Saccharomyces cerevisiae S288C: one gene and its partner. Each later gene encodes a partner of the first gene's protein in a complex. Each region holds a gene or a part of one and is shown in the gene's direction. Other genes may lie near its edges.

Region 1 (4,858 bases):
AACTTTTGACCAAGTCTTTACACCGCTGATGTCATCTAGCATAGGAGAATGCCATCTCAAGGAGGCGGATGACTTGACCTTATTAATAAAAGCGATACAACCAAAATATAAGTACCGATGAGCGAACATTTCTACGAGCTCATTATTGTGAATTGATATCGGCTTTAAGTGCTTGTGGGTGGTTAATTGGAAGGCACCAAATAGAAATGGAAGGAAATGATAATCATCTAATCCCCAAACACCATGAGAGCCCGCAGGCTCAAGCCAATATTTAGTTTCTAGTATCCTCATTATTTTAAGGTATTCTATAAAAACTTTCAGCACGAGGTTAGTTGAATCGTTTGAAAGATTGAATATTCCATAACTATAGAGTCCATAAAGTAAACACATGAAATTTAATTCATGACCTGAACCATAATCAATTCTTCTTTTATTTCCCCATGATTCATCTAGATAAATCGATAATTGTTCCAACTGCTCATCTGTGAGAGAGGGAAATTCGGAACGTAAGATCTTCCTGGAATTCCGTGAAACTTCGTCATAAAAGTCCCTAAACTCAACCTTACCAAATCTCGAGCTATCTGCATCCTTTATTACTGGGTGCTTCTGAGTGATATCTTTTATTTGCGAAAGCAAGTTCATCATACTGTTTATTGACTCCGATATTGGTTCTTTGTACTGGGAATTCTCATGTCCTTTGACAGATTCAGCCAAATCTATAATAAATTTAGTGAAATGAGCTCTTGTTGGGGATTCTTCCCATAGTTTCATATCGTCTGGAGTCAATAGTCTCTTTTCTGGCAACATCTTTTTCTAAATATTTATATTGTTCTTTACGGATTGTTGTTTATGGACTGTTCTTTCTGCACAGGCGACTAACATAAAGTACCTCTCTCTTGTCATTGATATCCCTTTTGTTCTATCACATCCGTTAGGATTTTATTCTGTGCTTACTCACGTGAAAGAGAGGGAAGAGTGTAAAAGTTACCCGAAAATCTATTATGGCGGCTATTGTAGTACGTCCAAAACAACGTATTTCAATGTAAATTCAAAGCAAACACTGAGAAAAAACAAAAACTTACTTATTGGTTCGCTCAGCACCTACCTAAATGGTACTTTTAGAATGATACTGTATTATCTACCGTGGTATCGGCAACTATAGGACGGAGATAAAGCATGCCAAAGTAATTCTTCCTTTATTAGATGAGATTTCAGCGTGAGGTGAACCATCATTTGTTTGGTTGGTGCATTAATAGCCTGCTTCCTTTTAATTAAGCCGGAAAGTGTTTGTCACAGATGTCAATGAAACGTGCATCTATTAACATATTTATTTTCATTTCGAGGGTGAGGTGGTGTGGACGCGTTGATACGGCAACGGGAGTGACGCGTAAAATTGGCAGAAAAATCATCACCGTGGGTAGACTTGGAAATGAAAACATTTATAGAATAAAGGTACAGGTTGAGAAGATAAAGGGTACCAAAGTTACCATTTTGAAATCTCTGATCAAGAAAAGGTAAGAAAGCAGAAAAGGACGGTAGAGATTATTGGAAGACAAACTAATTTTGTATATGCATTCGATTTTCTTAAGCTTTAAAAGAGAGAATAGTGAGAAAAGATAGTGTTACACAACATCAACTAAAAATGGAAAATATTACACAACCCACACAGCAATCCACGCAGGCTACTCAAAGGTTTTTGATTGAGAAGTTTTCTCAAGAACAGATCGGCGAAAACATTGTGTGCAGGGTCATTTGTACCACGGGTCAAATTCCCATCCGAGATTTGTCAGCTGATATTTCACAAGTGCTTAAGGAAAAACGATCCATAAAGAAAGTTTGGACATTTGGTAGAAACCCAGCCTGTGACTATCATTTAGGAAACATTTCAAGACTGTCAAATAAGCATTTCCAAATACTACTAGGAGAAGACGGTAACCTTTTATTGAATGACATTTCCACTAATGGGACCTGGTTAAATGGGCAAAAAGTCGAGAAGAACAGCAATCAGTTACTGTCTCAAGGTGATGAAATAACCGTTGGTGTAGGCGTGGAATCAGATATTTTATCTCTGGTCATTTTCATAAACGACAAATTTAAGCAGTGCCTCGAGCAGAACAAAGTTGATCGCATAAGATCTAACCTGAAAAATACCTCTAAAATAGCTTCTCCTGGTCTTACATCATCTACTGCATCATCAATGGTGGCCAACAAGACTGGTATTTTTAAGGATTTTTCGATTATTGACGAAGTGGTGGGCCAGGGTGCATTTGCCACAGTAAAGAAAGCCATTGAAAGAACTACTGGGAAAACATTCGCGGTGAAGATTATAAGTAAACGCAAAGTAATAGGCAATATGGATGGTGTGACAAGAGAGTTAGAAGTATTGCAAAAGCTCAATCATCCAAGGATAGTACGATTGAAAGGATTTTATGAAGATACTGAGAGTTATTATATGGTGATGGAGTTCGTTTCTGGTGGTGACTTAATGGATTTTGTTGCTGCTCATGGTGCGGTTGGAGAAGATGCTGGGAGGGAGATATCCAGGCAGATACTCACAGCAATAAAATACATTCACTCTATGGGCATCAGCCATCGTGACCTAAAGCCCGATAATATTCTTATTGAACAAGACGATCCTGTATTGGTAAAGATAACCGACTTTGGTCTGGCAAAAGTACAAGGAAATGGGTCTTTTATGAAAACCTTCTGTGGCACTTTGGCATATGTGGCACCTGAAGTCATCAGAGGTAAAGATACATCCGTATCTCCTGATGAATACGAAGAAAGGAATGAGTACTCTTCGTTAGTGGATATGTGGTCAATGGGATGTCTTGTGTATGTTATCCTAACGGGCCACTTACCTTTTAGTGGTAGCACACAGGACCAATTATATAAACAGATTGGAAGAGGCTCATATCATGAAGGGCCCCTCAAAGATTTCCGGATATCTGAAGAAGCAAGAGATTTCATAGATTCATTGTTACAGGTGGATCCAAATAATAGGTCGACAGCTGCAAAAGCCTTGAATCATCCCTGGATCAAGATGAGTCCATTGGGCTCACAATCATATGGTGATTTTTCACAAATATCCTTATCACAATCGTTGTCGCAGCAGAAATTATTAGAAAATATGGACGATGCTCAATACGAATTTGTCAAAGCGCAAAGGAAATTACAAATGGAGCAACAACTTCAAGAACAGGATCAGGAAGACCAAGATGGAAAAATTCAAGGATTTAAAATACCCGCACACGCCCCTATTCGATATACACAGCCCAAAAGCATTGAAGCAGAAACTAGAGAACAAAAACTTTTACATTCCAATAATACTGAGAATGTCAAGAGCTCAAAGAAAAAGGGTAATGGTAGGTTTTTAACTTTAAAACCATTGCCTGACAGCATTATTCAAGAAAGCCTGGAGATTCAGCAAGGTGTGAATCCATTTTTCATTGGTAGATCCGAGGATTGCAATTGTAAAATTGAAGACAATAGGTTGTCTCGAGTTCATTGCTTCATTTTCAAAAAGAGGCATGCTGTAGGCAAAAGCATGTATGAATCTCCGGCACAAGGTTTAGATGATATTTGGTATTGCCACACCGGAACTAACGTGAGCTATTTAAATAATAACCGCATGATACAGGGTACGAAATTCCTTTTACAAGACGGAGATGAAATCAAGATCATTTGGGATAAAAACAATAAATTTGTCATTGGCTTTAAAGTGGAAATTAACGATACTACAGGTCTGTTTAACGAGGGATTAGGTATGTTACAAGAACAAAGAGTAGTACTTAAGCAAACAGCCGAAGAAAAAGATTTGGTGAAAAAGTTAACCCAGATGATGGCAGCTCAACGTGCAAATCAACCCTCGGCTTCTTCTTCATCAATGTCGGCTAAGAAGCCGCCAGTTAGCGATACAAATAATAACGGCAATAATTCGGTACTAAACGACTTGGTAGAGTCACCGATTAATGCGAATACGGGGAACATTTTGAAGAGAATACATTCGGTAAGTTTATCGCAATCACAAATTGATCCTAGTAAGAAGGTTAAAAGGGCAAAATTGGACCAAACCTCAAAAGGCCCCGAGAATTTGCAATTTTCGTAACCAAGGACAAATACCCATAGAAAATGCTGCCCCTTTTTAAGAGAGAAGATGGTAGATACCAATACTCAGAATTCATCTATTCATAACTTTTTGGGTTTTTATTACATATAGAGTGACGTTTTGATACGATTTACATTTTGAAATATATAGATTTTTGTATATTAATAAGTTTTGATTTTCAGTTTTAGTTATGCTTAATGAATTTTTGAATCAGAAAAAGAAGTTCTGAAAAAAACATAATCCTGCTTGATGTGGTACAACAAGCTCATAAATAATTTTAAAAAGTTTGTTAATCCGTTTTCAATATCTTGAGCTCCTCAATTGTATTTGCTGAGGTCTGATTATTTCTATAACCAAAAGCGGTTATTGAATCTATGGAGAGGCTGTAACCCGTCTTATGCCTTCCGGGTACTATATTTCATTTGCGGGTGTCGATGGATTAAGGGGCGGAGGCGGCCCTTTTTAGGATTTATATAAAAAGCCATACTTCCGTACTTCGTAACCTCTTATCAACTGGTTAAGGGAACAGAGTAAAGAAGTTTGGGTAATTCGCTGCTATTTATTCATTCCACCTTCTTCTTTTTTGAGCGAAGCCTTTATAATCAAATTTTAGTGGTCTTTTCTATTTTTATTTGAGAAGCCTACCACGTAAGGGAAGAATAACAAAAAGTATATCTCACCCTACTGTATTCATAAAAAGTTTTTTCTATTAGAATTCTATAAGAAAAGAAAAAAAAAAAGCCTAGTGAC
Region 2 (6,579 bases), on another chromosome or scaffold:
TGACGCTAATACCGATTTTAATATATAACAGAAAACGCCTCAAACCGACTTTGCTTGGAAGAGTTTTCTCTGAATTAGCAACGGAACTTCGAAATGGTTTTAGACAAGCATGCATGGTATGTAGAAACAGTTAAAGAGCGCCGCTACCATTTGCACAGATGTACATATAAATAAATGACTTATTTTTTATATTCTATCAATAATAAGACAATTTGTGGTTGCCTTTAGAAATTTCGTGGCTTTTTTTCATATATTCTAACTTCAATAAAGTTTTTTTGATGCGAAATTTGATCGCTCATATTAAGGACGCCTGAAAAAGACATGCGTCTACATTTTGTGTCATTCCCATAAGAATAGTAAGAACAGGCATTTTTATAAATCGATACAAAAAAAGAGCTACTATACGTACATAAAGTCAGTAAATAATCAAATGTTCCCAATGAAAGATCACTCAGCTCTTGAACAACATACTCTCAGCAGAGATGAGTTAAGACGTCGCAAGGGTTACAAGAAAGGACTGCAGTTGTCAATTTTGTTACTTGGAGAAAAAGGCAGCGGCAAATCAACGTTTTTAAACAATCTGTGCGGTCAGGATATATCGCTTTCTGATGGGGATTATGATGATGATGATGATAAAGTGACAAATAATGTAACACCAGAAAATGGAAACGCCATCGAAGATATAGATCCTGGATATAAAACAGCCCATTTGAGTCCTGGGCTGAAGCTTGTCACCAGAAGAGTGTATTTGAACGATGAACTAGGCGTACCCATAACATTAGATATCATATTGTTTCCAGGCTGCGGTGACAATGTCGACAATTCACAAAGCTCTGTTGTTATAAAAAACTACTTAGACCAACAGTTTGCAAATGTTTTAAAAGAAGAGGTCAGAATAAAGAGAAACACAAAAGAAACTGATGGGAGGCCTCATGTTTGTTTATACTTTCTGAAGAGTACTCCAAGAGGAGTCAAAAAATTTGATATTGAGTTAATGAAAACGATTTGTGATAAAGTTAATTTAATTCCCATTATTCCAAAAGCCGATGGTCTCACAGAAACTGAATTAAATTTACACAAAGACATTGTGCGCCAAGAAATCTCTCAGAACAATATACGTGTTTTTGATTTTAAAAGTGACACCCTAGGCGAAACATTAGCTCTGTACGATATGGACATCGATTCCAGTTCAGCAAAATCCAAATACGATAATGACACGAAGATCAAGGAAATATCGCCATTTGCCATTGTTTGCAGCAAAACTTTTAATAAAAATTCGGAAAATAGGGTTGAGCATATCAGAACGTACGAATGGGGTAGCTTGGTGGTCGAAGACCAAAACACCTCCGATTTTATATACTTAAAAGCAATACTGTTAGGTTCTCACCTTCAGGAATTAAAAGATGTAACAAACAACGTATTGTATGAAAATTATAGGGCTAAAGTGTTAACTGAGAAGAAAAACAACTATGATATTCCAAACTATAGCTATATCGACGAAACCTCAAGGGGAAGTGTCAGCAATGTTTCCACCAGAAGAAATAGTGCAAGTAGAACACTTGGGAATCCAGATACAAACGATGAAAATGCTTATCAAATACACAAAGAAATAGACGAAAAAAACAGAATTATTGAAGACTATCAAAGGAAGATTGATTTATTGGAGAAAATGTTGGCAGCTCCCCATCAAAATAAGGTCTAAATAAATATACGGCCTTGTTAGCGTTAGATACATATGAAATAAAATTTTATTGCTTTTTCAAGTGCACTAAAGTATAAGGCAAAATTTTTTTAATCTATAATATACTTTCTCGATGTGTCTCTATATAACCTTGTGTCTTTCTTATTACTGGCACGGCTTTGAATTTTCAGAGTGCAGTTCTGATTAAACACGCGAGGATTTTTGTTCGTGGATATTTGCAACGATGAGCAATGTGAAGTGAGCAAGATAGAGAAACGCCATAGAAAAGAGCATAGTGAGAAAATCTTCAACATCAGGGCTATGTCAGGCCAGTTAGTTCAATGGAAAAGCTCTCCAGATCGAGTCACCCAAAGCGCTATAAAGGAAGCACTGCATTCTCCCTTGGCTGATGGCGACATGAACGAAATGAATGTTCCCGTTGATCCGTTGGAAAACAAGGTAAATAGCACAAACATAATCGAAGGAAGTCCCAAAGCAAATCCAAATCCTGTCAAGTTTATGAATACAAGTGAGATATTTCAAAAATCTCTGGGATTACTTGACGAGAGTCCAAGACATGATGATGAGTTAAATATTGAAGTAGGAGATAATGATCGACCAAATGCTAACATATTGCATAATGAAAGGACTCCTGACCTTGACCGAATTGCTAACTTTTTCAAAAGCAATCGAACCCCTGGTAAAGAAAATCTTTTGACCAAATATCAAAGCTCCGATCTGGAAGACACTCCTCTGATGTTAAGAAAAAAAATGACTTTTCAAACTCCAACTGATCCATTGGAACAGAAAACCTTCAAAAAGTTGAAGTCAGATACTGGGTTTTGCTATTATGGAGAGCAGAATGATGGAGAAGAAAATGCGTCATTAGAAGTTACAGAGGCGGATGCCACTTTTGTACAGATGGCTGAACGTTCTGCTGATAATTATGACTGTGCATTGGAAGGAATTGTTACACCTAAAAGATATAAAGACGAATTAAGTAAAAGTGGAGGAATGCAAGATGAACGAGTTCAAAAAACTCAAATCATGATATCAGCAGAATCACCTAATTCGATAAGCTCTTATGACAAGAACAAAATTACCGGGAATGGCCGGACCACAAGAAATGTAAACAAGGTTTTTAACAATAACGAAGATAACATAGGAGCTATCGAGGAAAAAAATCCAGTAAAAAAGAAAAGTGAGAACTATTCATCAGATGATCTCAGAGAACGGAACAATCAAATAATACAAAGTAATGAATCAGAGGAGATTAACGAATTGGAAAAGAATCTGAATGTTTCGGGTAGAGAGAATGACGTGAACAATTTAGATATCGATATTAATAGTGCTGTGTCTGGCACCCCTTCACGCAACAATGCGGAAGAAGAAATGTATTCCAGTGAGAGTGTAAACAATCGGGAACCATCCAAGAAGTGGATATTCCGATACTCAAAAGACAAAACGGAAAATAATAGCAATAGATCTACGCAAATAGTCAATAATCCAAGAACACAGGAAATGCCTTTAGATAGTATTTCAATCGATACGCAACCCTTATCTAAAAGTTTCAATACCGAAACAAATAATGAATTAGAGACACAGATAATTGTTTCATCGCTTTCCCAAGGCATATCTGCTCAGAAGGGACCTGTTTTTCATTCTACTGGCCAGACAGAAGAAATAAAAACCCAAATAATAAATTCTCCTGAACAAAATGCTTTGAATGCAACCTTTGAAACTCCCGTTACTCTTTCTCGGATTAATTTTGAACCCATATTGGAAGTTCCTGAGACTAGTTCACCATCTAAGAATACGATGTCAAAACCCTCGAATTCTTCACCTATTCCGAAGGAAAAAGATACATTTAATATACACGAGAGAGAAGTAGAGACAAACAATGTTTTTTCAAACGATATACAAAATTCTTCAAATGCAGCTACCAGAGATGACATTATCATAGCCGGTTCATCTGATTTCAACGAACAAAAGGAAATAACCGATAGAATATACTTACAACTTTCAGGAAAGCAAATATCTGATTCAGGAAGTGATGAAACAGAACGTATGTCCCCAAATGAGCTTGATACGAAAAAGGAAAGTACAATCATGAGCGAGGTTGAACTAACCCAAGAACTGCCTGAAGTTGAAGAGCAGCAAGATCTTCAAACGTCTCCAAAAAAGCTGGTAGTCGAGGAAGAAACTTTAATGGAGATAAAAAAAAGCAAGGGGAACTCACTTCAGCTTCATGATGATAATAAAGAATGCAATTCAGATAAACAAGATGGCACAGAGTCTTTGGATGTAGCTTTGATTGAACACGAAAGCAAAGGACAGAGCTCAGAACTTCAGAAAAACCTCATGCAATTATTTCCAAGTGAGTCACAGGAGATTATTCAGAACCGAAGAACAATAAAGCGACGTCAAAAAGATACAATAGAGATCGGTGAAGAGGAGGAGAACAGAAGCACTAAGACATCACCGACAAAACACCTCAAAAGAAATTCAGATTTGGATGCTGCTTCTATCAAAAGGGAACCGTCTTGCAGCATTACCATACAAACAGGGGAGACAGGTTCGGGCAAAGACTCTAAAGAACAGTCTTACGTGTTTCCTGAAGGTATTAGAACGGCAGATAATAGTTTCTTATCGAAAGACGACATAATTTTTGGAAATGCGGTATGGTGTCAGTATACGTGGAATTACAAATTTTATCCGGGTATTTTATTGGAAGTTGACACTAATCAAGATGGCTGTTGGATTTATTTCGAAACAGGAAGATCGCTAACCAAAGATGAGGACATCTACTACTTAGATATTAGAATAGGGGATGCTGTTACCTTTGATGGAAATGAGTACGTAGTCGTTGGTCTAGAATGTCGTAGCCATGATCTCAACATAATAAGATGTATTCGAGGATATGATACGGTTCATTTGAAAAAAAAAAATGCAAGCGGATTGTTGGGGAAAAGGACGTTAATTAAAGCACTAAGCTCGATCAGTCTTGACCTAAGCGAGTGGGCTAAAAGAGCGAAGATCATATTAGAAGATAATGAGAAAAATAAAGGCGACGCGTATAGGTACTTGAGACATCCCATTAGGGGAAGGAAATCAATGACCAATGTTCTGTCTCCGAAGAAACATACTGATGACGAAAAGGACATAAATACGCATACTGAAGTGTACAATAACGAAATAGAATCGAGCTCCGAAAAGAAGGAAATTGTTAAAAAGGATTCTAGAGACGCATTAGCTGAACATGCAGGAGCGCCAAGCCTGCTTTTTTCTTCTGGTGAAATCAGAACAGGGAATGTATTTGATAAATGTATTTTTGTTTTGACAAGCCTATTCGAAAATAGAGAGGAACTTCGACAGACCATTGAATCGCAAGGCGGCACTGTAATTGAGTCAGGATTTTCCACTTTATTTAACTTCACTCATCCGCTAGCTAAATCTTTAGTCAATAAAGGTAATACAGATAATATTCGAGAATTGGCCTTGAAGCTAGCCTGGAAACCTCATTCCCTATTTGCAGACTGCAGATTTGCTTGCCTAATCACAAAACGGCATTTAAGAAGCTTAAAGTACTTAGAAACTTTGGCGTTGGGGTGGCCTACACTACACTGGAAATTCATAAGTGCATGCATTGAAAAGAAAAGAATAGTACCACATTTAATATACCAATACCTATTACCTTCGGGTGAAAGTTTTCGGTTATCGTTAGATTCTCCATCAAAGGGAGGAATCATTAAATCCAACAATATTTTTTCATTTTATACACAATTCTTACGCGGATCTAATTTAAGAGATCAGATATGTGGAGTGAAGAAAATGTTAAATGACTACATTGTTATTGTTTGGGGTAGATCTGAGTTGGACAGTTTTGTCAAATTTGCTTTTGCATGTTTGAGCGCAGGTAGAATGCTTACAATTGATTTACCCAATATTGATGTAGATGATACAGAGCCATTGTTAAATGCCTTAGATTCTTTAGTACCCAGAATAGGATCAGAATTATCTAATCGAAAGTTAAAGTTTCTCATATATGCTAACGAAAATAATGGTAAATCTCAGATGAAGCTTCTCGAAAGATTGAGAAGTCAAATATCACTGAAATTTAAGAAATTTAATTACATATTTCACACTGAATCTAAAGAATGGCTAATTCAGACAATAATTAACGAGGACACTGGTTTTCACGATGATATTACGGACAATGATATATACAACACTATTTCTGAGGTTAGATGAAATTATAAAAATATATAAACTCATAATTGATAGAAAGGGACGATTAAATAAAAAAAAATTTAGAGATTCTTAATTAAGTCTAAGAACATCCTCCCACACGCCAGGAGTGGTTAATGTTCAAGATTGGTATTAGTTATACACGGTAACCAACAACGTTGGTAAGGTCTTTTTCTTCTATACATGAATTTTAAGATCAAGCATATATTTTAGGCTTGCATCTTGTAATGAACTAACTTTCATAAATAGCTTTTCTTTTTTGTATGAGGTATAAGATGAAAAATGTTAAACATGATACAGGATTTAATATAAAATGGACCAAAATAAGGAGCAATAACGAGATTCACCCCAATGGGTGAGATGAGAAACGCCAAGGTAGTGAAATATTTTTGTGCAACAATTTCAAAGATAAGATCGGTGTTCTCCCGCAGTAGTCCACTTCAGTCGCATGCATGGCTGTTTGATGAGAAATAAAATGAGATATTCAAAATCTCATCAGAAAGAGTTGAGTACTGGGACGACACATATCAGCAACGAGACATAATCGTCAACTGTTTCCCTTTAGATGATTTTCCAAAGTGTGGAAATCACTTGCCATCTTATCTAACATGTGACAATGAATGTAGTTTTCTTTAACATTGGTGAAAAAT

The links.
Region 2: the proteins of RAD53 (region 1) and RAD9 are in contact, whole or in part, in an NMR structure (PDB 1K2N), measured with the Saccharomyces cerevisiae proteins. Residues at the interface, in NP_015172.1 of Saccharomyces cerevisiae: Arg605 (codon at 3,455), Asn616 (codon at 3,488), Arg617 (codon at 3,491), Leu618 (codon at 3,494), Ser619 (codon at 3,497), Arg620 (codon at 3,500), Thr654 (codon at 3,602), Asn655 (codon at 3,605), Ile681 (codon at 3,683), Trp682 (codon at 3,686), Asp683 (codon at 3,689); in NP_010503.1 of Saccharomyces cerevisiae: Val600 (codon at 3,800), Glu601 (codon at 3,803), Leu602 (codon at 3,806), Thr603 (codon at 3,809), Gln604 (codon at 3,812), Glu605 (codon at 3,815), Leu606 (codon at 3,818).

Annotation. Positions count from the first base shown.
Region 1 is NC_001148.4:260,977-265,834, reverse strand, and holds RAD53 (serine/threonine/tyrosine protein kinase RAD53), read left to right. Parts: upstream 1-1,642; coding exon 1,643-4,108; downstream 4,109-4,858. Other genes in the region: peptidylprolyl isomerase RRD2, read right to left, coding at 1-807; YPL152W-A (uncharacterized protein), read right to left, coding at 1,135-1,233. UniProt on the Saccharomyces cerevisiae protein: Controls S-phase checkpoint as well as G1 and G2 DNA damage checkpoints. Phosphorylates proteins on serine, threonine, and tyrosine. Prevents entry into anaphase and mitotic exit after DNA damage via regulation of the Polo kinase CDC5.
Region 2 is NC_001136.10:898,904-905,482, reverse strand, and holds RAD9 (chromatin-binding protein RAD9), read left to right. Parts: upstream 1-2,002; coding exon 2,003-5,932; downstream 5,933-6,579. Other genes in the region: MFB1 (Mfb1p), read left to right, coding at 1-28; septin SPR28, read left to right, coding at 431-1,702; DNA-binding transcription factor ADR1, read right to left, coding at 6,477-6,579. UniProt on the Saccharomyces cerevisiae protein: Essential for cell cycle arrest at the G2 stage following DNA damage by X-irradiation or inactivation of DNA ligase.